Linked DNA regions of Cricetulus griseus. The protein of the gene in region 1 binds, or shares a complex with, the protein of each later gene. Links are inferred from orthologs where the notes say so. Each region holds a gene or a part of one and is shown on either strand. Other genes may lie near its edges. The genes, in order: Shc1, Itgb3, Grb2 and Ntrk1.

Region 1 (7,830 bases):
CAGACGGGTAAAGGAGGGACGGCGAGGTAGGGGGTCAGGGGTTAGTGAGGCCGGAAGTGAGTGTAATAAAGTTTGTCTGGGGAGGCTGGGGCCGGGGCAGAAAGTTGGGGCGGTGACTTAAGCCGACAGTTACGTGATCCGGAACCAGATCGGCCCGCGGTCCGGTGCGGAGACTCCATGCGACCCTGGTGAGTGTAGACTTTCTCTCTGCGGCTGACCCAATCCTCCTCCACCCCGGAACCCTCTCCCTGGACCCCACTTCCGGTCGTGTTGTAGAAGTCCCGCCCCCGAGACCCTCTCCCCGGAAGTCCCACCTTCCAACTTCAAGGGGCTCCCCGAACCCCTAGTCTCTTAATGTGGCGACCACACCCTGTCGTCCCTTCCCTGGAATTCCTACCCCCAGATAGGCTTTCCTAGCTCTGGAAGATCAGTCGTTTCATCTCTCTGAAACCGCCTTCTCAGGACTCCCGACTAAACCTAGTTTCTCAAAAGCCTGGCTTCCAAAACGGGCCAAACCTTGCTTTTGAAAGAACGGTTCGGCTTTGTAGAAGCGACGCCTCTCTGGGGGCCCGCCCCTTCTGAGCCCCGCCCCTTCCACTGTCCACGTCTGGTCCCGGAATGTGGCGCATTCCTCGTAAGGGACCAGGTCCCCTCAGGAGACTTTTCCATGCCGAGCTTGGGTCTAGTGCCTCAAAGCCCCGATCTTAAGTTCCGGACGCTTCATCTGCTTTTATATCCCTCTCCTTTCTTTAAGCCTTGGGGTTAGTTTTCCTGAGCTGTCGTGCTCCATCGGGGGGGGGGGGTTGAAATTTGTGATTGTAAGGAGATTATTGGCAGCGTGGTTTCTTTCCCCTGTAACCTTCTCTGACTGTGAATTAAGTTGAAGCGGCTGGCTTTCGTTTTTCGGCCGTAGAATGGATGAGAGAGTGGCTTAGAGAGTGGCTTGATCCCACTCCTTCCTGGGTCAGCCCCTATTCCTGAGACAGCCATAGGTGGTACCTTCCTGTGGCTGGACTGCACTAAGTTTGGATTTGTGTGAACCTAACAGGAGTGAAAGTTTGTTGCCATCAGAAGAAAAACTTGTTTTGGAGTCAGGAGTAGGGGTTAGTGCCTTTCCCGTTGTTTTTAAAAGACCCCTCCCCCTAACCAGATAACTCCTGTTTGGCCTTCATCCTGACCCCACTTGCCCAACCTTCCCTGCTGGAAACATTCCTGAGGCTTTCGCCATTTCCTGCTATTTCCTACCCTTCCAGCTTCCTCCCTGCTGGGCTGAGGTACAAAACACGGCTCTCCCCCAGCTGCCACTACCTAGCTTTGGTCCGGTAGATAATCTCCCATCTCTTTAAGCAGATTTAAAGGCTCATGCTTCCTTTTCTTCCAAATGTGCATACTCTTGGTCATTCCTTGCCTCTGGATATGAACGCTCCTAGAGAAAGCCATCTCTCAAGATGAAGAATCATTGTGTGTGTTTGGAAGTGTATGGCTGTGGCAGAATTTTTCCTCCTCTAAGAGCTGAGGTCTTACTTAGTAGACGGGATGACAGAGTTTCTTTTCAGGAAGAAGTTCGATATTCAGTAACAGCTCTCCTGGGATGGGGACTAAGGGCAGGTGAAAAATCGGAAGAATGATATTTAACCCGTTTTAAGTTCCGGTATTGTTAATCACAATCATACAGTTTTTAATTCTCCAAACTAAACCTAAAGGTAGTTTGGAGGTGAGCCTGTAAAGAAACTACCTTTTACTTCTTGTATTTGCCTCTCCCCCCCCCCCTTTTTCTTTTTTTAAAGGAAATAAGTGATAGTTTATTCTGGAGTAATGCTGATTGGTCACTTTCTTTAACTTCCTGATGGCCTTTAGCAGAGCTGTGGCAGGAAGCTGTGGGCAAAGGAATATGGGCTTGGTGTTATTATGCACTTATGGCCAGATCCCAACCTCTGGTATCCCTTTCTTCTTCCTGTCTTTATTAACACTGATTTGTTTATGGCCCTATTATCCCTTTGTGGCTTGTAGGCACCAGTTCTGTTTGTTTCATTTTCAGACCTCCAAGGCCAACTCCTCTACTAGTGTGAGGGACACTGTTGGGTGGACCTTACAGCCTGTAAGGAGAGAAATATGTCTGTAGGTCTAAAGGTAGCCTGATTGTCTCTACATCCTCTGGAAAGGGGTCCAGGAAGTCCATTGGTCCTTGGTAGGTAACAAGCCTAAGGGACAGGCTTGCTCTAGCTCTTGCCTAGTAGCTCCCAGACCACCGCCCAAATTGGCCTTATTCCTCCTGTTTCAGCTTTGCTTCCCTCTTGGCCTCGATCTACACCCACTGGGACAACTTTCTCTTCCTGGTTCCTTGCTCTTGTCCACAGCTGTTGTGGCTGAGGATGCTAATGGCCCAGGTTCCCTGGGGCTGCCACCTCACTTACTGTATGGTGGGGGGTGGGGATGGTCTAGGCTGTAAGAGAAATACTAAACTCTAGATCACCCCCCCCCCTTTCCTCCCTCAGCAGCTTCTGTTTCCTCCTTTATCCCTCCTAACCTTCCGGGCTTCCTGCTCTCTTTGGCTAGCCCATGTCAGTTTGGATTAATCCAGAGTTCCTCTTAACTCCTTCCTTTCCTTCTTTCCTCTTTTTCTTATTCTTCCATCTTTCTCTCCTACCTGGCACCTTCATCCTCCCCAGACAGACCCTAGTTGTTTGTATTGGGTAAGGGAGAGTGGCCTGGCTAGCACACATTGTGTGAGGAGGTGTCTCTGCCCCTCTGAGCCTGTGAGTCAGCATTGTCCTTGGGATTGGTCTCTCCCCTTGGTTCCCCGCCCCTGGGGAGGAGCCAGTCAGCTCTGGGTCCAGCCTGTACTCCTCAGCCATAAGAGGCTTCCTCGCAGGGCTGGGCAAGGATGTGGCCTGAAACTGTCTTGGTCTGACGTGGGAGAGCAGAGGCCACTTGTCCTTCGCTTCCCTAGGTCCTCTGTTATCACCAGGCTGCAGAGGTCAGACCAGGCTAAGGGCCTGGGGATGCCCCCTGCCTGGCCCCCTTGCCTGAATTTGGCAGGGGGGCCAGGCCGGGCCAGGCAGCAGCCCCCCTTCTCACCCCAGCCATGGATCTTCTACCCCCCAAGCCGAAGTACAACCCACTTCGAAATGAGTCTCTGTCATCGCTGGAGGAGGGGGCTTCAGGGTCTACCCCCACAGAAGAGCTGCCTTCCCCGTCAGCCTCATCCCTGGGACCCATTCTGCCTCCTCTGCCGGGGGATGATAGTCCGACTACTCTGTGTTCCTTCTTTCCCCGGATGAGCAACCTGAAGCTGGCCAATCCTGCTGGGGGGCGCCTGGGGCCTAAGGGAGAGCCAGGAAAGGCTGCTGAAGATGGGGAAGGGAATGCAGGGGCAGCCCTTCGGGACTCAGGCCTCTTGCCCCTCCTCCAGGACATGAACAAGCTGAGTGGAGGCGGCGGGCGCAGGACTCGGGTAGAAGGGGGCCAGCTGGGGGGCGAGGAGTGGACCAGACACGGGAGCTTTGTCAATAAGCCCACACGAGGCTGGCTGCATCCCAACGACAAAGTCATGGGACCTGGGGTTTCCTACTTGGTTCGGGTGAGTGTACATCCTCCTTTCTGCCCCCTCCCATTCCCCATCCAGTTCCTCTGCTCACTCCAGATTTGCTGGGACTTCCTGCTCTTCCCCCAACATCTGTGGCATTCCCCTAGTTCTTAACCCTGCCTGCCACATCCCTTCTCCAGTTCTATGCCTTCTGTTCTAGCCTGGGAGTCTTCTGCCTAGGTCCCCTTTCCTTTGATCCCTACCCCCAGCTTACACAATGGTCAAGCACATCAGAGGCTTTTAGTAAGTGTTGAATGAAAAATGACTTCTGGGTTCTTCCCTCTAGACTCCTCCCTTTTCCATAGCTGTCACTCCATCCCACCCAGTGCCTACAACTCCTCTCACAATCTCTCCACAGTGCATGAAGGTCCTCTTTGGTGGCCCTTCTTCACTATGGGGTGGTGGCCCCAGGAAGTAGGAAGGCTACTTTACCTTTACTTCCCTTAGGGACTACATAGGGCACAGTCCTAGAACCTTCTGCAAAGGGTGGGGTATTGCGGGGAGGGGGCAGCTGATCCATCCTTGCCTCCTTCCCCCACAGTACATGGGTTGTGTGGAGGTCCTGCAGTCAATGCGAGCCCTTGACTTCAATACCCGGACTCAGGTCACCAGGTTAGTGGAGAGGCAGGTGTATTGTTGGAGTCTTGTATGGAGGAGGAGGAAAGGTGGGCATTTGGTGGTGGTGCTGATGGTGACTTCTCATGGGGTGGCTAAGAGACCTGAAAGTTACACCAGTGTGTCTGACTGCAAAGAGCCAGCTCTGGTCTGGAGCACCACCTTACCCACGCAGCCTGGGAGACTGTGGGACGATGGATTACAAAAGGCTGCTTTTGGGAAGGGAATGGCAAATTTGGTAACTGGGAAGAGGTGGGGCTATAACCATTGAGGCCCTAACCCAATCAGCCAGGAAGCAGCCCCTCAGTGTCATCAAATATTAAAGGCCCTTAATTCAATCCACCACGACAAAGAGCCTGGAGTGCTCTGAGAATCTGGCCTGCTCTTCCCCTCCCCCAGCTTTGTGGCAGCCCCAGGCAGTGGGAGGCCAGGAGTAGGTCTGAGTACCCCTGTTTCTCTAGGGAGGCCATCAGTTTGGTGTGTGAAGCCGTGCCTGGTGCCAAAGGAGCCACAAGGAGGAGAAAGGTATGTGTGGTTGTGGTGGGCAGGGGGAAGGCAACCGCAGGCACAAGGGGAGGAGACAGAAGTGTCTCCTGGTGTTGCCAGTGCTCAGGTTCTGAGACTTGGGGCCTTTCCTAGCCCTGTAGCCGCCCACTCAGCTCTATCCTGGGGAGGAGTAACCTGAAGTTTGCTGGAATGCCAATCACTCTCACTGTGTCTACCAGCAGCCTTAACCTCATGGCAGCCGACTGCAAACAGGTGGGTGGGGCTGCTGAAAGGGACGGGGGTAGTTATGGGATGATGGGGTGGGGGGATCTGGAGGCCAAAAACCTGGAGTCCTCAGGAGCAACTGGAGAGTAGAGAAGGAAGAAATTAGAGGGCTTGGGTATAGTGACAAATTTAATCCCAGTACTCCAGAGGCAGAGGCAGGTGTTTGAGTTCCAACTATACAGTGAGACCCTGCATCCCTGTTACACCCCCCCACTCCCCCCACCCCCGCCAAATAGAACAAAATTAGAAGAGTGTAGGATTAGAAGCCGAGAGAAAGACTGGGCGCCAAGGTCATAGCTGGGGTGAGGACACGCGGGATCTTGACCACTCCCTTCCTTCTCCATCCCCTGCCCACATGAGAGAATGAGAGTGGGTGCCAAGGTCATAGCTGGGGTGAGGGTACACGGGACCCTGAGGCTGCTGACCTTGATTGTTCCCTTCCTTCTCCATCCCCTGCCCGCATCAGATCATTGCCAACCATCACATGCAGTCCATCTCGTTCGCGTCTGGTGGGGATCCGGTGAGTTGGGGAACAGAAAGGATGGAGGTGGGGAATGAGAGACTAGGGGTTAAGAAGATACTGACTAACAACAACAACAAAAAGGTGGTATTGGCTAGAGGATGGGCGTGGTGGCATATGCCTTTAATTCCAGCACCTCTAACTTCCAGGACGGCCAGAGAAATCCTTTTTCAAAAAACTGTGGGGGAGAGAGAGGATTGTGGGAATAACTGAAAAGGACAGTCTTAGGGGTCAAATAAGATGGAGTTGTAGAATTTAGCTAACCGGTCTCTTCTGAATCTATCCATAGGACACAGCTGAGTATGTTGCCTATGTTGCCAAAGACCCCGTAAATCAGAGAGGTGAGGCTTTTGAGTGACACTGGGTAGGGCCAATTGTCTGAGAAGCAAGTGGGACCTCTCTCCCCTACTCTCACCAGTTATACTTGATGGGGCTATCCTGCTGAGGATTGGGGTTGGGTCCTCCCAACACCCTACCTCAGCGCTCACTGGCAGTTTCTACTGTGCCCCCAGCCTGCCATATCCTGGAGTGTCCTGAAGGGCTTGCTCAGGATGTCATCAGCACCATCGGTCAGGCCTTTGAGTTGCGCTTCAAACAGTATCTCAGGAATCCACCTAAGCTGGTCACCCCCCATGACAGGTGAGCTGGTATAAAGAGTGTGAGGCGGCTCTTGAGCCTCAGGCTGGGATTGGGAGTAGTTTTCTTTTCCCAAGTTTGAGTTCCCAGGGTTCAGAAAAGGTAGTGACCTATGTGACCCTGCCTCCTCCTTCCTACTGTGTTAGGTCTCCAGTGGCTCAGCAGGAAATCTGTGAGGGCCATGCCTGCTGCAGAGATAGTTTCTTCCTTTTTTTTTGCTTAGGGTGGGGTTATATTCCAGCACCTCCCACTAGCTTGCCTTTTCTAGCCTGATGGACTCTGGCTCAGGTTCCTCATTTTTAGCCTATCCCTCTGTGGTTTATTATTGTTATTGTTATTTATGGTTTTTTGAGACAGGGTTTGTCTGTGTAGCAGCCCTGGCTGTCCTGGAACAGGACCCTCCCCCCCTTGTTTTGGGGGGTTTTTTGTTTTGTTTTTTCGAAATGGGTTTCTCTGTATTGCTTTGGAAGTTGTCCTGGAACTTGCTCTGTAATCAGGCTGGTGTCAAACTCACAGAGATCCACCTGCCTCTGCCTCCTGAGTGCTGGGATTAAAGGTGTGAGCCACCAATGCCTGGCCCCCAAAGATTTTTTATTTTATGTGTATGTGTGTTTTACTGCATGTATGTAAGTGCATACAGTGCCTGTGGAAGCCAAAAGAGGTCACTGGATCCCCTGGAACTGGAATTAAAGGTGGTTGTGAGCTGCCATGTGAGTGCTGGGAACCAAACCTGGGTCCTCTGCACCATACTCCCCCATTCATTGTTCTGTGCTTTCCTGCCTCTGAACATTATTAAGAATTTAGATTTTAGCTAGGTGGTGGTGGCACATGGCTTTAATTCCAGCACTCAGGAGGCAGAGGCTGGTGGATCCCTGAGTTTGAGGCCAGTCTAGTCTACAGAATGAATTCCAAGACAGCCAGGGCTACTCAGAGAAACCCTGTCTCAAAAAAATTTTAAAAAAAGAGAAAAAAAAATAATCTAGATTGAGAAAATACTTTTTTTTCTGTATGTGTATATGTATTTGCATGTGTTGGGGCATGTGTTGTGTGTCCAAATGTATTCACATATGTATGCTTATAGAGATGTCTGAAATTGATATCAGATGTCTTCTTCTATACTTTGTTTATTGAAGGTCAGGATCTTTCGCTGACCTGGAGCTTGCCAGATACGGCTAGAGCAACCAGCTTGCTCTGGATCCTGTCTCTGCCTCCAGAGTCCTGGGGTTATAGGTGGCCACCATTCTTGTACAGGTGGCCTGTCTTGTACATGGGTTCTGGTGATCTGAACTCTGACCCTCACACCTTAGCCACTGAGCTATTTAGGAGATACCATAGCTGTCAAAAGTGAGAGTTTTTGGTTTTAAACCAAATTAAATCTCAACTCTACCTCCTTTCAGTTGAGAGACCTTGTGTAAATCTCTCCAACCCTGATTTTTATTTTTAAAATTTTGGAAGGAATACCAGCCTTACAGGGTTATAACACCAAGCCTCAGGTCTGACCCATAATATATGCCTAGTTCTTTTCCCTTCCTTGGACCCTAGGCCACCACATATTTACACCCATCTCACTCCATCCTTCCCTTTTCAGGATGGCTGGCTTTGATGGCTCAGCTTGGGATGAGGAGGAAGAAGAACCACCTGACCATCAGTACTATAATGACTTCCCAGGGAAGGAACCCCCTCTCGGTGGGGTGGTAGACAT
Region 2 (7,084 bases), on another chromosome or scaffold:
TGAATTAGAAAGCTCTTGTTTATGTTCAAGGCTTGGGGCTGAGGTCCGTCTCCAATACAGCTTGTCCAGCTCTTGAGGAATGGAGGTTCTGCAGTCTTTGTTCAGTGCGGATGACATAGCTGAAGTCTCTGTGTCTTTTTTTTCAAAACAGGAAAAAATTGGCTGGAGGAATGATGCATCCCATTTGCTGGTGTTTACCACTGATGCCAAGACCCACATTGCACTGGATGGAAGGCTGGCAGGCATTGTCCTGCCCAACGATGGACAGTGTCACATTGGCAGTGACAACCATTACTCTGCCTCTACTACCATGGTGAGATGCCTGGTCCCACTGTGGTCCTTGTTCACTCTGATAGGGCTGTTTTATTCCAGGCAAGGCTTTTGTGTGAATTTGAAAACAGACTTACTTCTGGGCATTATATGGGGCTCAGTTAGTGCCTGTTTCTGCCACATCCCAATAGGGCACCCTCACCCAGGGCGTCACACTGACTCCGCAGTCGTCAGCACCAGCAACAGCATCTTGCCATCCAAAATGTGGGAAGGCACAGCTAGAAAACTCTCTTCCCTCCTTCCTCTGTGGATGGGTCCCTTCTTGGAATCAAGCTCATTTGTGGTTACTGGGGAAAGACAAGGGGGAGAAAAGGACAAAGGTAAAACCCAGAGAGCAGAGCCTCTTGAGGAAAGGTTAAAGGGCACAGAGTCATTCGGTTTGAAAGAAAGATGTTTGTGGATAATTTAGGATGATAGGTAAGAAAACTTATGAAAAGTTATTTCATGTGTTTTATTTAACCATAGACAGTTAACTAAATAAGAAGAAAGGAGCTTAAATTGAAATAGGAATTACTGTCAACCATGAGGCAAATGTAGCTAAGTTTAAAATAATAACACTTAGGGTATTTGGAGAAAGTCTTGACTTTTTTTTTTTACCTGTCTTGTCCCCCTACCCCCCTTCATTTTCTTGAGTCAGGGCTTTGCCATGCAGTCCAGGTTAACTTGTAATTCTTAGTCCTCTGCCATCACCTTCACATCAGTGGGGTTACAGTAATTTGACAATATACCTGATTTTAATTAATTGATTAAATGATAAAGGGCCTTGTTCTATATATAGCCCAGGCTGGTTTTCTCCTTGCAGTCCTCTGCCTCAACCTTCTGAGTATTGGGATTAGAAGCTTATACCACCATGCCTGTTTTTTTTTTTTTTTCCCTTAGTCTGGAAATTGAATTCAACGTCTCATAGTATATTAGATAATTGCTCATCCACCAGGCCATCCCCAGCCTACTGTTTATTTTTAAATAAGAAACAAAACCTTATTTATTATTAAAACATACTCCTTATTTTCTCTAGTCAATAGAGGAACCATTTTGTGGCTTAAAAGTGATTCAAGGGAGGAGACTGAGCTAGAGAACTCATGAGCTCCCTTGCAAGGTCTATGAGCCCATGGACATATTGGTTCATACTGTTTCCTGGTCTCTTCAAGTCCTTGGTATTAGCCATATACAAGCTGAGCACTATCGGACTCTGATACTAGTCTATACAAGGCACTGATCAGGAGCTGCGAGAGATGAAAAAGCTATAAGGACCTACTCCTACAAGTTTTTTTGTTTAGATGAAGAGAGAGGATATATTCCAGCACATTTATCAATAGCAGCGAATGCATGCTGAATGCTAAGTGTGTTATACAGTCAAGGGCTATTGGCAGCCGGAAGAGGAAAGCTCCTTAGGAGCTGGGGTGGTCAAGGAAGGCCTCTTGGAGGAGGTGAGCTTTGGCTAAGGAAGGAGGAGGATTGCCAAGATGAAGGTCACTCGCAGGAGGAGTGAGCTAGAGCAGTGCCTGGTAGAAGAGGAGTAGGGGTGAGTGATGGTTGTTGGTCACGTGTTGGTTGATCAGTAGAGCGAGGCTAGGACATTTGCCCACAGCTCTGCAACGGTGGGCCTTAACTCATGGAGCTGGTTTGAATCTGAGTGGGAAGGAAGGTGCTTGGCTTTGGAACACCACCAGCTTAGGGTTCTTTGCTAAGCTTGCACTGCATTGCCCTTCTCACTCATATAGCAACTTTCATTTCATATCCACTTTCTGTTGCTAACAGTAAGCCAGAAAAGAACTTCAGTTTTGTTCTTAGAACTTGCGAGTTTGAGAGACCACATCTGGTGGTCATCTTGCTGGCTGAGTCCCAAGACTCAGGCCGGCATGAAGCAGAGGTCAGGGAGTGTGTGTATGGGTTTCTGTTTTCATTGTTCTCCTCTCATGACACTAGTGGGATTCAACTCTGGGGGCTTTGCTGTAATGACCTCTAACCATACTTCCCGAATACTCTACTCCCCAGTACTGTTGGGGGGCGGGGCTTGTCTTCATCCCCCCCCCACCCAAGCATCTCACAGTGTGAATTCAATTTCATCACATGAAACCCAAGGGACACACTGGAGCCATGTCCAAACCACAACACCTCACTTTGATTAGTGCATAAATGTTTTAAGTTTCACATTTCCTTGGCGATATCCCCATGAACCTTTCCCTCTTTTCCAGGATTACCCGTCTCTGGGGCTGATGACTGAGAAACTATCCCAGAATAACATTAACCTGATCTTCGCAGTCACTGCAGACGTGGCCAACCTCTACCAGGTAACTATGCCTCTGGGGCTTCCGTCCTGTTGCCACAGATGGACCTGTCCCAGGTGGCCATGGACCCAACCAGGAAAAAAATCCTTTTAAAACTCATTCTCTGGGTACTTAACATAACTCCCTATAGCCTTTTTCCTTCAGCCTCTAACCTGCTAGGAAGAGGGTGTAGATGTTTGAGATGATGGTGAGGAGATAAATCAGTTGGGGGAGGGGAGTAAAAAGGTTTCTTACTTTTCCCTCAGATATGAAAATCTGATAGATCTGTTCTGGTAGTGACAAGTGAGGCATCCCACAGTGTCCTCACAACTTCACTTTAAGACTGTCAGTCTGGCAGTGGTGGCACACGCCTTTAATTAAAGCACTTGAGAGGCAGAGGCAGGCAGATCTCTGAGTTTGAGGCCAGCCTGGCCTACAGAGTGAATTCCAGGACGGCCAGGGCTACACAGAGAAGCCCTGTCTTGATGCCCCCCACCCCCCAAAAGACTGACTAGGGGGACTTTGAGGAGACCACTTTCCTTGAGCAAGCTGTGGACATCTTTGTCTTCCTTTCTAGAATTATAGTGAGCTCATTCCGGGGACCACAGTGGGAATCCTGTCTGTTGACTCAAGCAATGTCCTCCAGCTCATTGTTGATGCTTATGGGGTAAGAATATTGGCCTGGGAGGGCTGGTCGAGTCTGCTGGATGTGGCTCATTGAGCAGAGGGTGTTAAAAAGAAGTAAAAGTGGGATGCAGTGGTCCCTCTACAATGGGAGCCTGACATGTAAATTCCCCCCAGGATTGAAATTTCTTAAAATGAATGGGCCTCAAGGCCATGCTTGGGCCTGGAGGTGGAAGGGAGGCATTAGATGGAAACAATATAATAGGGAGGTCTAAACATAATAGGGCCTTAAAGGGGACAAGAGGTGTCCCTTTAAAGCCTGAAGAGGAGCTTTATTAAGAGTGAGAGCGAAGCTGGGCAGTGGTGGAGCACTCCTTTAGTCCCAGCACTCGGGAGGCAGAGGCAGGGGGATCTCTGTGAGTTTGAGACCAGCCTGGTCTACAAGAGCTAGTTCCAGGACAGCCTCCAAAGCCACAGAAAAACCCTGTCTCGAAAAACCAAACAAACAAACAAACAAACAAACACAGAAGAGTGAGATCGAGAGAGGTCAGGAGGAGAGTGGGTAGGGGGAGCCAAAGAGAGACAATGTTCATGAGCGTGAAGGCAAAGAGACCCTCTTCAAAAGCAGCCTTTCTCTCTAGACCAATTCCTAGAACAAAGGAAAGGTCTGGCTTTTTATGTTTTTAGGAGTGGCAGGAAGTTTCATATCATGTGATTTAGTTGAACACAGCACATAGAGAAGCCAAGTATTCTACAATGACAACTGTCAAGTCACGGTACAAACTGCTTTGGAACTCTGTCCCAAAGCGAGCTGGAGTGCGTGGCCTGGTTTGCCTGTGGGATCATGCCTAAAGATGCAGGCCCATGTTATGACAGAGCTCAGCATTGGGAGCCCTAGGCTGCCATTCTCCCATGTGGCCTTCCTGCTTTCCTCTTGTGCTCCTAGAGGATGGCCAGCCCTGGGAGAGATGACATCTTCTGGAAAGGAGGTGGGAGAGAAAGGAAGGCTAGGGCAGAACGGACGGTGAGTGGGGCGCTTAGAGGTGGAGGGGACTGTAGATGCGGGCCAGATTGACAAGGAGCATCTGTAGGGCAGAATGAGGGAGAGCCAGGTCCTAGCCACACACAAAAGAGGCAACTGAGTACAGAGACATTCTGGCAGCAACGGGCAGATAACCCTCAGCATCCGGCACTACCAAAGCACGTCCCAGGCCTCTGGGTTGGCTTTGCGTGGGATGCTTTTGGCCTTTGTCTGTGTCTTTACTTTCTTTTGTCCCTTTCTGCTCAGAAAATCCGCTCCAAAGTGGAGCTGGAAGTGCGTGACCTCCCTGAAGAGCTGTCACTATCCTTCAATGCCACTTGCCTCAACAATGAGGTCATCCCAGGCCTCAAGTCTTGTGTGGGACTCAAGATTGGAGACACGGTAAGGTGGGCAGTGGGCGAGGCAGGGACTGATACTGAAGCTGTGACGTGGACCCCAGAGTCTGTGTGTACTCCAACCCTTTTCAGATTAGAAGTTCAAGAGCTCTTAACCTTTCCTCTTGAAGCTTCTGCTGCCTAAAGTTTCTGTATCCACTGAGTTAACATCTCCATCAGTTTTTGAGATATTCACACCTGTATATCTGATTGCAAATGAAATGATCTCTTATCTACTCACCCAGAGTAGTGCCTTTCTTTTCTCTGTGACATAAAATGGCAGTATATCATCTGTAGACTTTAGCTGAGCACTGACTGTGCGCCAGGCTTTATTCTGGGTGATGAAAATCCAGCAGCAAGTGGACAGGAAAAAATACCTGGACCCCTTGAGACTCACTTAAGAGTGCAGATGCTCATATTGCCCCTGCATTCCCTCCATGGTTTTCTTGATGGCTATTGTTTTGCATTTTATGCATATGGTTATTTTGCCTATGTGCATATTTATGTATCATGTGGGTGCCTGGTACCTGTGAAGGCCAGAAGATGGTATCTGATTCCTTGGAACTAGAGTTACAGAGGGTTGTGATCTGCCATGTGGATTTGAACCCAGGTCCTCTGGAAGAGCAGCCAGCATTCTTCACTGCTGAGTTATCTCTCTAGCTGCCCGGGTTTTCTTTGTGTGCTGGTCCTCCTCTGCTCTACCTAAGAGACTGGTGGATGGCAGGGAGGAATGACAAGAAGTCAATCTTTTGGTCCATTGCCCTGTAAGCTTATTTTCCAAGCATGTATGTCCACAGCCCCACACTTCACACGCTGCAATGATGCCTTATACAGTATCCTTCAGTTTGGGACTGATTAACCACTCTTTGGCATGGTGTGGCACAAAGCAGAATCTTGTTGTCTTGCTGTTAATATGCAACATTGATCCTCCAGCTGGCTTAGTTGGCTAGTGTAGTGCTCACAAAAATCACTGATTCTGTCCTGCTTCAGCTGGTTTCTCTCTCGGGAATAGAACAGCCTTCTATTGCTTGTCTGTAACCATCTGTCCAGTCAGATGTGTCACAGTGGTAACTTCTATGCCACTGTCGTTGTTACTCTGTAGACTTTGATAGTATTAAGGTCACGGAACCCCCTGGGATGGTTGAATTCAGACACCTAGTTTTGTTTTCCTTGGTAGGGTGCATCGTAGCATTTCTCAGATCCACTTAGGTCTGAATGTCATCTTTCCATCCAGGTGAGCTTTAGCATCGAGGCCAAGGTACGCGGCTGCCCCAAGGAGAAAGAGCAGTCTTTCACTATCAAGCCTGTGGGCTTTAAGGATAGCCTTACTGTCCAGGTCTCCTTTGACTGTGACTGTGCCTGCCAGGCCTCTGCCCAGCCTCTCAGCCCACGCTGCAACAACGGCAATGGGACCTTTGAGTGTGGAGTGTGCCGCTGTGACCAGGGCTGGCTGGGAGCCATGTGTGAGTGCTCTGAGGAGGACTACCGACCCTCCCAGCAGGAAGAGTGCGTCTCCAAGGAGGGCCAACCCATTTGCAGCCAGAGAGGCGAGTGCCTCTGCGGCCAGTGTGTCTGTCACAGTAGTGACTTTGGCAAGATCACTGGCAAGTTCTGTGAGTGCGATGACTTCTCCTGTGTCCGCTACAAAGGGGAGATGTGCTCTGGTGAGTAGAAGCCTGCACCCGCGTGCTCGGTAGCCATGCATGCATACACACCTCAGTAGAAGTGTACACCCGTGTGCTCGGTAGCCGTGCATGTATACACACCCCGGTGCCTTGGGAAACACTCGGAAGGCTTGAGGCTGGCAAGGTGGGCAGAACTGAGAATCCATTTCACTCAGAGTGGAAACCCAGACATAAGCAGAGGAGGGAGGGAACCGGATCTTTTAGCTTGTTCGTGGGGCATAGGAAGCTAAGCTGGAGGTAGGCAGGAGTGGAGAAACGTCAAGGAGAGGTAGCTTGTTTTGCTTTTTGTTCTTCTCACTCTGATATTTCAGGTTCCTAATCCTTTTGAATATAAGGACTGACTTAGTTTTCAACTAAAGAAACCAGTCTCTTGGTAATTAAACTGTTAGTGTTTACAGACAGAAAATATATGATATCGGAATATACTGTAAAGTTCATAATCATTTTACATGACTTTATCGTTCTATCACCAGTAGACAGTAGTGATATATATGCAGGACGTTGGGGGCACCAGAACAGTGTTTGGGAAGTGGTGTACCTGTGTTAAATGTTATCCTTGTTTTGGCATCTGTTTTTTACTGCGTGTATTCATGTGCTGTCCAGAATGGTATCCACTAGCCATGTGTAGCTATTAACTAAGTGAGATAGAAACAGAAATTCAGTTTTCAGTTGGTCAGTAGCCTCATGTGGCTAGTGGCTATCATATTGGACCATGCAGATATTGAACATGTTGACATTGCAGGAAGTTCCACTGGATAATGT
Region 3 (7,084 bases), on another chromosome or scaffold:
TCTCATTTGTATAGTTTTCTTGCTTTTGTTTCTTGGGCAAGTATGTGAGTTTAGTTTCTACCCAAAAGATTTTAGGTCCCTTGGAGAATTAGACTAGGCTTCTGCTTTTATATTCCACTGTAACTTGTACCTTGTTTTTTGGTTTTTGGAGGTTTGGGCTTTTTTTGTTTGGTTGGTTGGTTTGGTTTGGTTTTTTGGAGACTGGGTTTCTCTGTGTAGTCCTGGCTGTCCTGGAACTCACTCTGTAGATCAGGCTGACCTCCATCTTACAGAGACCCTCCTGTCTCTGCACCCTGAATGCTGAGATGAAAGGTATGCTCCATCACTGTCCTGCCTACCTTGCTTTTTTGTACAGAGTGGTTCATTAAAATTTTTTTGCTGCTATTTAGGCTTAAAGCCTTAATGAAGAAATCTAAATGCTAAACCTTCAAATAAATGGCATATGCACATTAGATTCCTGGACCTCTGTCCGTGGCTGAGAATGCCTCTTGCCTGAGATCCTGTAACCTAAGATTGGGGCCCAGTGTGCAGTACAGCTGGCCCAGGTTACTGAAAGGCAGGCTTGAGTGGGGTAAACTGAAGTTCTGAAACTTCAACATGAACTTCTTACATCTGATTCCTGTGGTGTTAGTAAGCCTGCTTTGTAGACCCAGAGACTGGTATTAGGGTTCAAGCCTCAAGCTGAAGACTAGAGAAGCAAAGCAGCCAAGCCAGTAGATTTTACCTCTACCAAGCTGAAATGGCAATCCTGTCTCCATGAATCCTCAATCTGTAGCTAACCAGGGTGGCTGCTTTGGTATTTTGATCTCCAGTGGCTTTAATAAATCATAAACAATATATCACCACAGGGTTTCTCTGTGTAGCCCTGACTGCCCTGGAACTCTCTCTGTAGAGAGATCCTCTTGCCTTTGCCTCCCGAGAGTTTGTATTGAAGGAGTGTGGCCGGCCGTTGGTGGCGCCCCCGCCTTTAATCCCAGCACCTGGGAGGCAAGAGGCTGTCGGATCTCTGTGAGTTCGAGGCCAGCCTGGTCTACCAATCGAGTTCCAGGACAGGCTCCAAAACAGTACAGAGAAACCCTGTCTCAAAAAAAAAAAAAAAAAGTAAATTGTGTGTTTCTTTTATATGTCTGTGTTTGAGTGTATGTATGTGAGCCCACAGACATCAAAAAGAGGCATTGATCCTCTGGAACTGGGGTTATAGGTGGTTGTGAGCCACTAATGTGGGTGCTGGGAACTGAACCCAGGTCCTCTAAAAGAACATTAGATGTTCTTAAACAGTTAGCCACCTCTACACACACAACTCTTTTTTTTTTTTTCCTTCCCACCCTCCCCCTCTTTTCTTTTATCCTGGGAATTGAATAGTAGGCAAACATTCATCACTGGACAATGCCAAGCTCCCCTAAAGTTTGTGCTTTCGTGGCCCATTAAGGCCGGGCTCACTTTATATGCACAAGGCCCTGGAATCCACCCCTAGTGCCTTAAAAATATTAATTTTAAAAATAAAAACTGCAAAGGCACATGGTTTCATGGTAGAGCATTGCCTCAAACTCACGAGGTGTTGATTCCCAGCACTAGAGTAGAGAGGAGAAGGATGGGTGTGGTGGTGTGTACTTGTATTTCCCAACATTCCAGAGACTAAAGTAGGCAGATCACAAATGCAGGGCTGCCCAGGGGCTGACAAACCTGACAACAGCGCAAATTCAATCCCAGATCCCAGGGCAGAAGTGACTCTCAGAAGCTGCCCCCTGACCTCCACGGGTGCACCATGGGGTTATAGGTGGCGAGTACCCGAGCACTCACACTCACACACTAACTGAAATTAAAGAAAGGGAAGGCCAGCCTGGGCTTGCATAGCAAGATAGCCTGAGAGCTGTGGATTCCTGACAGCTGTGCTGGATCAGAACCAGCGCCTCCTGGGTGCAAATTGCCGTGGTCTGCGCCCTCCAGATGGTCTGGTAACACAGGCATTTTTCAATCAGGTTGTTAAAGATAGAGCCACCCTCCTGTGGAAGGAAAGTCTGTAGGTACTGCCACTGACAGGAGAGCCACTCTCATGAGAGTTTGCGTGGTGGTATGCCTGCTTACCATCTCTTGGGGTTGGGGGAAGAAGTGGAAGAAGGAAAGGGCCAGAGGCGCAACCCTTAACCTGCAGGGGGGGCCTGGGATCAAACCCTTGGTCCTTTAAATAACTTTAAATAACTTCCTACCCACCTACATCAGCATGGTCTGCTGGGCGCCTTGCACTGGCGGGAGGGAGGAAAGTCCCAGCCCCTCCCCCTCCGCCTGAGCTCTGCAGAAGGAACTAAACATTCAAAAGTCTCTCTCCAAGTCTCTGATAGTGCTGGGGGCTGCTGGTCCCCAGCGCCTGCCTCTGTGACTTACAGGCCGCCAAGTAGCCCAGTGTACCTGGTGCTTAGTGTGACACCACAGTGTGGTGTGCCAGAGGCCAGCCCTGCTCCCCTTTGTTTGTAGAGGTAGTACATACAATAGAGTGCCAGCCACCTGTGAAGGCCGACAGATCCACACACTCTTCATAGTAAGTACATGTGGGCGGAGCCTATGGCGTGCTATAAATAATACCCTGGAAAATACATCCCCCACCCCCCCTTGGCTTTCCTGCTTGCTATTTCTAGGGTAGTACAGACCAGTCTTTTTAAAGACTAGCAGAACGTTTGTCTGTAGGCATGCCGTTATACATAAATATCACCATTAAAAGGACCCGTCAGGCTCGGTCTAGCTCAGTGCTAGAGGGGACCAGCCCCGCACGCACAAGGCCCTGACTTCTGCCTCCAGCACTGCAAACAGGAATACTTTTAGAGAAGCTTATTGGGTTTATAAAAGCCTGTGAAAGTAGAGTCTCTGACTGAATGCTGAGTGCTGTTCCTCCTGCTGTATGGGGTCTCCCGACCCCGTGTGCTGGAACCAGGTGCAGATAGACAAGAAATTTTTGGTTCATAAAATGGTTCTCAAACTAATGTTTCCTTCTGTTTTAGTTTTTGAGACAGGTTTTTGGAATGAGACCCAGACCAGCCTTGAAGTTACACTATTCCTCCTTCCTCTTCCTCCCCATGGCTAGGATTACAGCTGTGCATCACACACTCAGCCTTTTTATTCTTGACACATCTATTTTGTAAAGTTCCAATTAGGAGACAGGCAGTAGCGGTGTGGCCACTTCTAATCCCAGCACTCGGATTAAAGGCCTGCACCACCGCTGCCCAGCTCTGTGTGTAGTAACTTCTGATGTTCCTGATCCTGTGGTTTGGTTTTTGTTTGTTTGGGCTTTTATGTGAGGCTGATACTCAATGCAAGTATCCTGTCACTGAGCAGTGTGTCCTCCACCCCCATGCTCTGTCTCCCTTCAGGGCTTTTCCCAGGGGCTGGGAAAGCTGCACCCTGAGCCTGTCCTGAGGCTGGAGAGGAGTGCTGGCACCCATACCCTGTCTACTTTCTCACCAACTAAGCCTCCCTTTGTGCTTCAGCAGAAGCAGCCCTGCCTCCAGCTTCTAGTCCTTCCAAGTCCCCTCCTGCACTCAGGCTTGACAAGACTCTGTGCGGTCCCGAGTCCAGTCCATCCTCCCCCCCACCCCACGTGGCAGGTGCGGCAGGGCTTTCCTGAGTGCCCTTCTGATGAATTTGGGGCAGGGTTGTCTTTGGCTTCAGAAACCTGACTTCAGGTGGCACATTGGGGATCGTCTCGTCTGAAGAGTGGCCTGCACCGGTGCCTTCCTTGAGTCTTGATCTAGAGAGTGGAGTGGGTGGAGCTGCTTCAAAGCTCAGCTCATCTCTCTGGAAGGCACTGAGCCAGAGCAGGCCTGGTGAGCCTTAGGCAGGAGACCAGCTTGTGAAGAGTAGCTTCCACCAGCAAAGAGATCTCGTATTTACGTGTGAGGCTGGACAGCCCAGTTTCTTTGTGGGGAAGCAGATGTTGACTGGATTGCCTTCCTTCCTTAGGTGGTTTTTTGGCAAAATCCCCAGAGCCAAGGCAGAAGAAATGCTTAGCAAACAGAGGCATGATGGGGCCTTCCTAATCCGAGAGAGCGAGAGTGCCCCTGGGGACTTCTCCCTGTCTGTCAAGTAAGTATTTCCTGCTGGAGTGTCCACAGAAACCTGCTGCCATTGACTGAAATGTAAGGCTGTGGGAAGATGTTAACAAATCTTTCCATGGAAATCCTAGTGTTTTTCATGAACCTTCAGGAACTGATGTCACTCATAGCCGGTTTCCTACTCCCTACCAGCCCTGGTCCCTGTCCCTGTCCCTGGTCCCTGGGTCCCTGGTCCTGCCTTCAGTATAGTTGCTGCCACTCAGGCAGAATAAATAACACATGTCATCTCAGCTCCTGTTGCTCACCTGGACCAGATGCTATCTGAGGCTTTTCATGTCTCTTGAAAATGTTTCTGTGAGTAGGTGGGATTCCCTGTCAAAAATCTAGATAGGACTTAGACATGCAAGGTGTCACGTGCCTTTATCTCACACTTGGGAGGCAAAGACAGGTAGATCTCGGTGGGTTCCAGGCCAGACTGAGTTATATAGTGAGATCCTGATTTTCCATGATGTCTGACTGGTCATCTTTTTTGGGGGGGGGGTCATCCTTTTCTAGCTAACATGTTACTGCAAAAGCCCCACCCCCAGAGTCTTTTCAGTCATTTCTTTCCAACACAGACTCTTACCTCAGGCTATCCTGGAAGTTGCTATATAGCAGAGGCTGTCCTCAAATTAATTGACGGTGCTCTGCCTGTCTCGGCTGAGCTCCTGAGTGCTGTGATGACAGGCGTGAGTAGGTACATCCCCTCATTCTTTATCCATAAAGGGCTGGGGGAACCTGGTGCCTCTAACCCCATCCCCGGGGACATGAGAGGACAGACTGCTGCCCTGAGGGATCTGAGGTTTAAACCCAAATTGTCAGGTTTGTGCACAAGCGCCTCTGCTCACTGGGCCACCCCACCAGTCCTGCCGTTGTCTTTTAAACGCACTGACCAAGGTCTTGCTCCATTGCCCACGCTGGGAACTGGGTGTAGCAGGTGTGGGTTTCAGGGTTCTGTTAACTAGCATCATGGCGAATGAATGAATGAATGAATGAATGAATGAATGAATGAATGAATTGCCTGACTGGCCTTGAACTTTCCATCTTCCTGCCTTCACTTTTGTGTAGTAGGAATATCAGGCCTCCAATCTAGGCACCAGAACAAAGTTATGCTTTTTGTCTAAATGGCCTCAAACTCAGGGATTCACCTGCCTCTGCCTCCCGAGTGCTGGAATTAAAGGCGTGGACTGCCACAGCTGGCTTGCAGTATTTTTTTTTTTTTTTTCAAACTCAGTGTAAGAATAGTTTCCTCTTGCAACCAGGACTTTTGAAGGTCTTTTTGTTTGTTTGGTTTGGTTTTTCCAGACAGGGTTTCTCTGTGTAACAGCCCTGGCTGTCCTGGAAGTCATGTGATCTGTGAGCCAGGCAGGCTGGCCTTGAACTCAAAGAGATCCACCCGCCTCTGCCTCCTGAGCGCTGGGACTGAAGGCGAGCGCCACCTGGCTTGAAGCTCCTGGCCAGACACATGTGCGGATGGCTCTGACAGCATGTGGAGCTGGGCTTGTAGAATTACCATTTTATGCTTCAGCAGCTTGTGTGTCATCTGCTTTTTTGGCCTCTGCTGCCCCTAGTAGCAGTAAAACAGCTTAGGAAGGAGAAAGAAGTAACCAACCAGTGGGTAGCAACAGACCCTGCTCTGTGCGTTTCCTGAAGATGCCCTTAAGGCCAAGCTGTTCCCTTCCATCAAAGGAAGTCTTGTAAGGGATGGAGACCTAGCCCAGTGTGTGTGAGGTCTACGAGAGCTAGTTCCAGGACAAGCCTCCAAAGCCACAAACTCTCCCCCCCCCCAATAAATAAATAAATAAATAAAACTTTAAAAATTAAACTTTAAAAAAAGTTAATGTGCTATCACTTTAGGAATAAAATAAGGGGGAGGATAGAGTACCTACCTCACAAACATGAGGGCCCGAGTTAGGACCCATCGTGTAAAAGCTGGGGTAAAAGAGAGACAGGTATCCCTGGAGCCAGGAGGCCAGCTAGCCTGGCCTAATCAGTGAGCTGCTGGTTCTGAGAGAATATGGCAGAGACTTCCATCATTGACTTCGGTTTCCACACACATGCTGGCACACGTGCACACGGAGAGGTGGGCAGAGAGAGAGAGTATGAAATACTGCCTTTAACACAGGCATCTTCACAGAACCAAGGGCTTCACACGGCCTCAATCTCGGAGATGGTGCACTGGTTTCGAGATGTCAGAGTCTGGTTAAAAGGCCGTGGTAGAAGTGACCCTGGCAGTCAGTGACCTGCACTCTCCGGAAGCCAGGTGCAAACCCAGAAGGGCCCTCGACAAGGCCTTCGGATGTGCAGTCCTCTGCTTTCGCCAGCGCATTGGCTTCCAAGTGAAAATGTGATAATGAAGTTGTCTGACTGCTTTGGTCTTGCTTTCCTCCATTTCAGTTACCAAGATCAAGTGGAAACTGCAGAAATAACTCCTGGATTTTAAATAACTTAAATGATTTCATATTGCTGCAATGTGTGTCCATAGGGGAAACAGTGTATCTGGTTTCAGATTTGCCCTGAGTGTTAGTTAGGAAGCGCTAGTGTCCTGCCCCCCCTAGCTTGAAGCTCGGTGCTGCCTCCTGCTGGATTGTCTTCAGAATGCCTTCACCTTTTTTAAGCCCTAAACTGGAGAGACTCCTGGAAAAGATTTGAAGGCTTGGCAGTGATCAGGAAGCAAGGTCCTGGCTGAGTGACTGTCATGCCCAGGTGTCACTAGGGCAGACCCTGTGATCCGGCCAGCATCAGTAATCACACTTGTTAGCCTTGTTGTCAACTGATAAGAGTGTTTGTTTCTTCATATTTGGTTCTCGTTACCCTGAAAAAGAAACAGTATGGCAGTAACTCAATGGAAAGCATGGCTTTGGTGGCACACATGTCATCCCAGCCCTGGGGAGGCTGAGTCAGGAGATCACCATGAGTTTTAGACCTGCTTAGCCAGTTAGTGAGCTCAAAGCCAACCTGAGCGAGGGTTTGGATGTCACATGGCTTTTTTACCTGTAAAG
Region 4 (7,556 bases), about 1.5 Mb from region 1:
CACCTTCCCCAGCCCATGTACAGGAAAGGGAGCCCCTGCCTTGATCTTGGAAGCCCCCACTTAGAAGAGATTCCTGAGACCCTTCATACTTCCAGAGTGCTGAATTCCTAAGCAACCTCTGTGTGGAGGACAAAGGCAGAGTAGATGAGGGAGGGGTACACTTAATCTTTCCTGTTCGGCTGCTTCCATTTCCCATGAAGCCCCTGGAAATCCTCTGAGGGCAGTTTGGTCTGCATAGTCCCCCTCACACTTCCTGATGCCCTTGGTGGGAAATGTGTATCAGGGGAACATCACTGAGTCACACAGGAGAGGCAGCCCTTCTGCTCATAGTGGGTAAATCCCTAGGGTGGGGGGCATGGACTAAAATGCCTGGGGTGCTAGAGCTCAGGACCTGCTCCAGGGCTGCCTCTCCAGTCTCTGAACTGCCTATCGACATAATGTATCAAGTTGCTTAATAATGCCTGGTGTTCAGCTGTTGGTCCCAGCCTACCCCTTATCATTCAGTGGCCCTAGAAAAGACCTCTAATTCTCTCAGTCTCGTTTTGGTTCAAATTTAGACTTTACTAGGATCATGGTTTCACAAACAGCAATGGCTTGTAGAACATCTGTTCATTCCGTTTCTAACTCCTTAACTCTTAGCGAGCTGAGAGGGGGGAAAAACTTTTCATATAACAGTTCTTCTTTTTTTTTTTTCCTGGTGAAAAGTCCTTTTGAGGGCTAATCCTCGTCTTCTAGTTCCAATAAATACTAAGTAGAAGTCAGAGGGGGTGGCGCACGCCTTTAGTCCCAGCAGAGGCAGGTGGATCTTTAAAGGCCAGCCTGGTCTACAGAGTGAGTTTTAGGATGGCCAAGGCTACACAGAGATAACTCTGTCTCGGAAAAAAACCCAAAACAAAGACTAAGTAGAAGTGTTCCGGAAGGGAGGTGGGGGTTGGAAAGACGTTGCTGAGGACTCACCCTCTAGTGTGTCCAGACCAGATCCCAAGGACAGCAGGCTCATAAGCAAGTGTACTCTCCAGTGCCACAGAGCAGGCACTGCCATCATCTCAGCCCCGAGTGTCCTCCAGGTGTCCTCCAGGGAGAAAGGGTCTCATGAGTTGCAGACCCAGGTTCCGGGGTTGGGGGTGGGGCACAGGGGCAAAGGGATTAGAAATCCCAAGTAGAGACAGCGAGAGACAGAGGAAACAAAGCCTGTGCCAGAGACGGAGGCTGCAACAGAGGGAGATGGAACAGGAGCAGGAGAGCCTCAGAGAGGCCTCCAGAGGGAGAAATTGACCCAGGATTCAGAACTCGAAGGTCCAGGGGCCAGACGGTCCCAATAGGAGACGGAGCGAAAGCCCCAGGAGCGCCCGGGGGATGGCGGCGGGGGTCCAGAGGCTCGCAGGACCCCACCCCGAGTCTCCGCGGACCTCCCGGGCATACACAGACTTGCAACCTCTGCCGGCCGGCCGCAGCTTCTGGGGCTGCAACGCAGGGACCTCACCCAACTCCCGCCCTTTCCAGAAACCGATTGGTTTGTGCCGACTTATCTGTTCTCTGCGCCCCTCCCACAAAGTCAAGTAAAAATATTTAGCCTGACAACTGAGGGAGGTGGGGGACAGATGTGTTGGGGGAAATAAGGCCAAAATACCGAAGGGGTTGGGGGCCAAGAACTGAGCTCCCAACTGAATCTTGGCGGCGTCTCTCTCCCACCTCTGGCACCGCCTCTGCTCGCTGCAGACCTGGAGGCGGCGAGCCAGCGACTGGGCGCCCTGGTCTGAGGAGCGGAGGTTCTGGAGTCCAACAGGTGTTTTGACACCCTAGAGGGTAACTTCTCGCAGGCTGGACAGGTCGCATAGTCCGCTTGTGGAACCTGAAGATCTCAGACCTTCGCCTCTAGCAGCCCCCGCACCCCCCAGCCTCCTGAGGCCACTTTGACCATAACCCCTTGCCGCGGGGCGCGTCCCTGCCAAGTCCCTTTGTGAGATTCCTCCTTCGTTTGGTTACTTTTAAGAACTCGGGATGTTTGGTGTGTCTCTGTATGCTCTGTGTATACTCTGTGTACTCGTTTGAAGACACTCGAGGGACTATTCATGCTGGGACCTGGAGCAGAAAGCTAACTGCCACTAAGACTATCTATCCTTCACTGGTTAGCTGGGTCCTACATACTTCGGTCACTCCCAGAGCCCACCTGTCTGTCCCCTCTTAAGCGTGAGACTTGCATACACCCCTTTAACCCCAGCGCTCGGGAGGCGGAGGCTGGCGGATCTCTGTGAGTTCGAGGCCAGCCTGGTCTACAAGAGCTAGTTCCAGGATAGGCTGCAAAGCTGCTGAGAAACCCTGTCTCGAAAAACCAAAACCAAACCAAACAAAAACAAAAACCACCACCACCAACAACAAAACAAAAAAGTGTGAGACTTAATAGACTTGCAGCCAGGAAGGCCAATGCGCGACACCTGCCCTTTGATGGCCTGAATGCTGGATCCTGGGACTTCCCAGGTTCACAAATACCAAGGGTCGATGGTTCCCAGCTCTACCCGCGGGCAACTCCCACGTCCGAAGAGCTAAGAGATCTATTAATTTCTCCGCTCAGAAATCGATGCACTTGTCAGGACGGCGATCGATGCCAGCCCTGCTCTGTTTGGCCCTACCCGGCCTTGTGCCCCAACTGGCTGGCTGCGATTGGGGACTGACCTTAAGACAGAAGGCACAGGCTGGCAGGGCTGCGAACCGCGCGCGCTTCCCGGCCCTCGAAGACCCAGGCCCGGCGCAAACGCCGCGGCGCAAGGGCTTCTAGCGCCACCCTGTGGTCTCTTGCGGACTGAGCGGTCTCCACTTTCCACTCTCCCTCCAGCTGTGTTGAGAGAACACTTCTCTGCCCCTTCTGTTTTCCTCCGCAGGTTCTGCGTCCGGTCTTTCTGGGGCCATCTCCCTTTTCTTACTAGCGTCTGGAGAGTGTTCATCAAACTTATTCCAAGTGACATGCACACTCTTTTAGGCATGTGCACCGCGAGGCTGTTTGGGATGACCTGGACTTCAACCTTCTCCTTGCTCAATCTCTCCCTGTCCCTGCAAATCTGAAAATGCAGCTGTTTTACTGGGAGAAATAACGTATCGGCTTCCTAGCCCGCTCCAGTCTCAGAAGACGCCTGTGAGGCGTCCTGTAGCAATCCTCCGCCCCAGGTCTACTGCAGCCGCCAGGGACATTAGGGAGGCTAGCTGGCATTAGGGCCCCAAAGGGGAGGAGGGGGCGCTGGGGGCACCGGCCGGCGGGGCGGGGCGGGGCGGGACGTGGCCGCGGGTGCCGCCCTCTCCTGGTGGCTGGTCTTTAACACCGCCCCGCGCACGTGTCGCGCGAGGCCGGGCGGTGGCAGCTAAGAGCGCTCGGACGGACGGCGCAGCCCAAGCTTGGCGGGCGCCGCCGCGATGCTGCGAGGCCAGCGGCGCGGGCAGCTGGGCTGGCATTGCCGAGCCGCGGGGCTAGGAGGCCTGCTGGCTTCGCTGATGCTGGCCTCTGCCTGCGCCGCATCCTGTCCTGAGGCTTGCTGCCCCGTGGGCCCCTCGGGGCTTCGCTGCACCAGGGCAGGGGCCCTGAATACCCTCCACGGCCTGCGGGGCGCCGGGAACCTGACGGAGCTGTGAGTGTGTGGCGGGGGAGGCACGCGGGGTCAGGAGGGCACAGCCTTTCCCCGAGGGCGCGCACTCACCGCTGGCTTGAGGGGCCAGGCTTGGCTGCTGTAGGAGGCTGGCACGTGTAACCTTTGGCTGTGCTGCAGCGGCTTTGCTGTTGCTGCCACCACCCTGGCAAAGCCGCGCAGTCACTGTCTGGACGTCGCCCAGGATTAAGGGTAGCTGGCTGAGGTGCTGGCTTGGGGCAGAGCAAAAGGGGACCAGGTCTTGGTCCATCGATATAGGAGCCTCTTTGTGGGGTTCATTCAAGAGCCCAAATTCTGCCCCTCGGTGTGGGGGTTAGCTGTGGAGAATTCGGCACTGTGCACCTTTGCCATCTTCTCTATCTTAGAGGGAAGCCAGTCCCCAACCTCTCCCTTGTCTTGGCCAGGGACCCTAGGTCTTCCCTGGGTTTGTGATTGAGCTGGAGTTGATGAGGAACCAGCTTGTTGTATGAGCTTTTCTTCTTTCCATTGACTTCTTGATTTGGATGTGGGAAATGAAAGCCCTTTGCTTCTCTCCCGTCTCCCCTTTCACCAATGTCTCCCTACTTGTATCAGGGAGTCAGGGCTGTTGCTGAGGGATTCTCACTTCTTCCAGGTCCAGAGCTGGGCGGAACCTTAAGCTCTGCAGTACTTTGACATTCTGCAATAATTGGTTACAAAATATGCAAGTACTTCTTAGCAGCTGGTGAAACCTATGAGAGTATAATTGACCTGAAGGGACTCAGCATCCCAGGGTGATGGCTGGAAAATACTTGAGTATTCTGCATGCTGGTAGAACCAGCAGCTGGCCGTGATTGGCACCGAGTTACTCGGGCATCTTGTAGTAATTAACGGAGATACTCAATCTCTTTCTAATGGCCCTAGGGAGACCAAAAAGAGAGGGGATGGCCTTGTCTTGGTCTGGCCTAGGCTCCTGCATGATGGGAGGGGGCATGAGGTCTAGATTGTTGCTCCCAGGCCTGCCCATTCAAACCAGAGTCCCGGCTCCTGACTGTGCCTCTCAGCGTTCTCATTCCCCAGTGCCTTAACAGGCTCCAAGGGAGTCCAGCCCAGGGACAGAGGCAGTGGGCAAGCTAGGGCTGTAGAAGAGGAGGTTGGCAGAGCGGTGAGCTGAGATGTCCCCCTGGGTGGGGCCAATCCTCCCACCTCGTCCTGCACAATCCTCTCCCTCCTCCCTCACCCGCATAGCTAACAAGGAGCTAATGGACTCGAATAGACAGATTGATTATGAATCTGAACAAATGAGGCGGCTTGGAGTACACTGCCTGACAGCCCTACTTACCCAGCTCTTCACATCTTATCAACTCCCTGGGTCTCTGAAGCTTGAAACCCTTGGGGCAGAACAGGGATCTGGCCTCCCCCAAAGTGGCCGTCTGCATCTCCTTAGGCTTCTAGGCTGAGGATAGGCACGTACTGTCCCATTGAAGTCAAGGCTGGAAGCAGGGCTGGGGTTGGGGGGGGGGCTGGACTGAGCCTGTTCCCTCGCTGTTCTTTTACTAAGGGAAAATCTAAAAGAGAGGGGAAGAGTTCTGAGAACTGCTAGTGAGTCAGGGGCCCCTGCCACATACGGGAGTTGGGAGAGGAGAGGAAACATGGACGTGCCACTGCAGAGGACATGTCACTACAGGGAAGTAACTTCACAGGAACTCCGGGACGCCAGATCCACAAGATAGGACTGCAACCACAACCACAGCCACCTCACCCCGAGTGCCGTCTTTCTCTTTTTGCATCCCTGGTTCTCAGTCCTTATCTCTGTGGCCCCCTGTTCTTATCTGTATGTCCCTTCCCACCACCACTACTCAGTCTCTTCTGAGTTTTTTACTCTGTTTTTCTGCCCACCTTCTGCTACCTCATTCAGCCTTCCTGTGTTTCACACTGTATCTCCATCTCTCCTCAGCCACACACTCAGACTCCATCTGCTCCATGCTCCTCTCTCCCTTCCTGTGTCCTTCATGGACTGAGGAGGGACTAAGGGGTCCTTAACAGCTCTATGCTTTTTGCTTGTTTTGGAAAAGTACTGGAGAGGGGAGAGTAGGGATGCTGTAGGGAAGAACGAAAGGTTTTGAGGGGACAGAGGGTGGTGTGTGTGTGTGTGTGTGTGTGTGTGTGTGTGTGTGTGTGTGTGTTTGGGGTCAGTGAACCCAGATAGCAGTCTCAGAGCTGTGTTTGGGGCACACATTAGCATGACCATTGGGGCATCTTTAGCACTGGGTGGAGCAGCAGCACTGAGAGCCTTGCCCTTTGTGGAAGTGAGCCCCAGCACGACCCGCTTATTGTTGAGCATATATATGCTGAAGGGGCCTGCTATCAAAGTGGAGCCCCAAGCTGAGAATGGCAGTGTGCACTGGCTAACATATCTTCACACCTTCTCATCTGTGTATGCGTGAGAGACGTCTATGTGAGCTTTGTTCATGTGTGTCCTTGGGTGAGAGTATGAGGATATCCCCGTGTGTTTCTGTGCAGTTGCCTATGTGTTGCAGGAGGCATGTGAGAGTCTGTATTTTGTAAAGGTGAGGGTGCATGCATGCCTGTATGCACATGTGTGACTTGTGAGTCGTGCCAGCATGTGGGGGCATGCGCATGAATGAGTAGGTGACATGGGTCTGTGTGTGAAAGGTGCCTGTGAGGGAGGTGGGTGGCTGGTGGGAATGGGGTAATTCCACTGAGGCCCTGACCCTGTTCACCACCCCTCTCCCTGCAGCTACGTGGAGAACCAGCAGCACCTACAACGCCTGGAGTCCAGGGACTTGCAGGGCCTGGGGGAGTTGAGAAGCCTGTGAGGACTAAGGGTAGACCGGGTGGGACTGGGCACAGGGTGGTGGGTGGCCACATATATTGGGCTCTCAGAAGACCTGGGAGTCTGGGAGAAGTGTGGAGGCTCAGGGGTTTGAGGGGTCCAGATAACTGTGGAGCCTAAGGGGTAGAGAGGGGTGCACAGCTCCACAGGGGTGTCTGGCCTGGGTGAGCAGAGGGCAGAGTTTAAATTCCTCTCACCCCTTCCCTAGAACCATTGTGAAGAGTGGCCTTCGCTTTGTGGCTCCCGATGCTTTTCATTTCACTCCTCGGCTCAGTCACCTGTGAGTGCCCAGGTTGGACCCGTGGGGTGGGGCTGAGAGGGACCTCCGGACTTGGATGCTGATAGGCTTTGTGCTGCCCAGGGAACTGTCCAGCCTGGGCTCCTTTCCATATGACATTTCTTAGTCAGACTAGAATCCCTGTTGCCTCACTTCCTTGACTCAGAGATGTTTCTCAAAAGCAGCCAGCCAGGCTCTCTGCCTGGAGCTCATAGGGACTGAGGGGCAGGAGTAAGACCCCTGGGTTCTGGTCAGAATTTCATCTCCTCTCCTGTGGTGTGTGCTGACCTGCCCCCAGGCCAACCTGGGAGGTGGTGTGTTCTGTCTGCTACTCTTCACCCTCCTCATCCCTGCGTTATAACTACTTGTCCTGTAGAGGACAGGGAGGGCCATGGAGTAGGTAGAAGATACAGTTAGAGTCTCTAGCAGCACCTCCCTGGGTCAGGAGCCCGTCATTCACAGGGTTGGGTTGGGTCCTCTAACCCCTCAGATGGGTCTGGAGAACTGAACACAGGTGTTGTGTTACCTACTATATGTACTGGCTTAAAAATGTACACTTGGGCTTGGGGATATGGCTCAGTTGGTAGAGGATTTGCCTGCTGTTCACAAAGCCCTGGGTTTGATCCCCAACTCCATAAACCAGGTGTGGTGATACATGCCTATAATCCTAACACTGGGGAGGTAGAGACAGGAGGATCAGAAGTTCCAGGTCATATATGGCTACCTATATAAGTTTCAGGCCAGCCTTTTGTCTCAACAAAACAAAAGAACAATAACAAAAACCTTAAAAAAAATTAAAATGTGTATTTGGTGGCAGTCCATGACTCCC

Evidence for each region.
Region 2: the proteins of Shc1 (region 1) and Itgb3 are in contact, whole or in part, in an NMR structure (PDB 2L1C), measured with the Homo sapiens proteins. The link is inferred for Cricetulus griseus from reciprocal best matches to the Homo sapiens genes SHC1 and ITGB3. Residues at the interface, in NP_892113.4 of Homo sapiens: Ser175, Met176, Arg177, Asn182, Arg184, Thr185, Gln186, Thr188, Arg189, Glu190, Ser193, Leu194, Arg208, Arg209, Lys210, Arg214, Pro215, Leu216, Ser217, Ile219, Met257, Gln258, Ser259, Ile260, Ser261, Phe262, Ala263, Ser264, Gly265, Pro268; in NP_000203.2 of Homo sapiens: Trp765, Asp766, Thr767, Ala768, Pro771, Leu772, Tyr773, Lys774, Glu775, Ala776, Thr777, Ser778, Thr779, Phe780, Thr781, Asn782, Ile783, Thr784, Tyr785, Arg786, Gly787, Thr788.
Region 3: the proteins of Shc1 (region 1) and Grb2 are in contact, whole or in part, in an NMR structure (PDB 1QG1), measured with the Homo sapiens proteins. The link is inferred for Cricetulus griseus from reciprocal best matches to the Homo sapiens genes SHC1 and GRB2. Residues at the interface, in NP_892113.4 of Homo sapiens: Asp423, Asp424, Pro425, Ser426, Tyr427, Val428, Asn429, Val430; in NP_002077.1 of Homo sapiens: Arg67, Glu71, Arg86, Ser88, Ser90, Asp94, Ser96, Gln106, His107, Phe108, Lys109, Leu120, Trp121.
Region 4: the proteins of Shc1 (region 1) and Ntrk1 are in contact, whole or in part, in an NMR structure (PDB 1SHC), measured with the Homo sapiens proteins. The link is inferred for Cricetulus griseus from reciprocal best matches to the Homo sapiens genes SHC1 and NTRK1. Residues at the interface, in NP_892113.4 of Homo sapiens: Met176, Arg177, Ala178, Leu179, Ser259, Ile260, Ser261, Phe262, Ala263, Ser264, Gly265, Gly266, Lys279, Asn283, Arg285, Ile301, Ile304, Gly305, Phe308, Glu309, Phe312, Lys313, Gln314, Tyr315; in NP_002520.2 of Homo sapiens: His489, Ile490, Ile491, Glu492, Asn493, Pro494, Gln495, Tyr496, Phe497.

What each region holds. Positions count from the first base shown.
Region 1 is NW_023276806.1:65,122,850-65,130,679, reverse strand, and holds the start of Shc1 (SHC-transforming protein 1), read left to right. Parts: upstream 1-2,676; 5' UTR 2,677-3,085; coding exon 3,086-3,580; intron 3,581-4,127; coding exon 4,128-4,198; intron 4,199-4,662; coding exon 4,663-4,726; intron 4,727-4,840; coding exon 4,841-4,960; intron 4,961-5,438; coding exon 5,439-5,492; intron 5,493-5,781; coding exon 5,782-5,833; intron 5,834-6,004; coding exon 6,005-6,131; intron 6,132-7,716; coding exon 7,717-7,830. UniProt on the Homo sapiens protein: Signaling adapter that couples activated growth factor receptors to signaling pathways. Participates in a signaling cascade initiated by activated KIT and KITLG/SCF.
Region 2 is NC_048600.1:117,667,160-117,674,243, forward strand, and holds part of Itgb3 (integrin beta-3), read left to right. Parts: intron 1-151; coding exon 152-313; intron 314-2,525; coding exon 2,526-2,621; intron 2,622-3,174; coding exon 3,175-3,264; intron 3,265-4,509; coding exon 4,510-4,644; intron 4,645-5,871; coding exon 5,872-6,301; intron 6,302-7,084. UniProt on the Homo sapiens protein: Integrin alpha-V/beta-3 (ITGAV:ITGB3) is a receptor for cytotactin, fibronectin, laminin, matrix metalloproteinase-2, osteopontin, osteomodulin, prothrombin, thrombospondin, vitronectin and von Willebrand factor.
Region 3 is NC_048600.1:128,243,212-128,250,295, reverse strand, and holds part of Grb2 (growth factor receptor-bound protein 2), read left to right. Parts: intron 1-3,951; coding exon 3,952-4,074; intron 4,075-7,084. UniProt on the Homo sapiens protein: Non-enzymatic adapter protein that plays a pivotal role in precisely regulated signaling cascades from cell surface receptors to cellular responses, including signaling transduction and gene expression.
Region 4 is NW_023276806.1:66,666,664-66,674,219, forward strand, and holds the start of Ntrk1 (high affinity nerve growth factor receptor), read left to right. Parts: upstream 1-3,405; coding exon 3,406-3,617; intron 3,618-6,354; coding exon 6,355-6,429; intron 6,430-6,658; coding exon 6,659-6,730; intron 6,731-7,556. Other genes in the region: Insrr (insulin receptor-related protein), read right to left, coding at 958-1,042. UniProt on the Homo sapiens protein: Receptor tyrosine kinase involved in the development and the maturation of the central and peripheral nervous systems through regulation of proliferation, differentiation and survival of sympathetic and nervous neurons.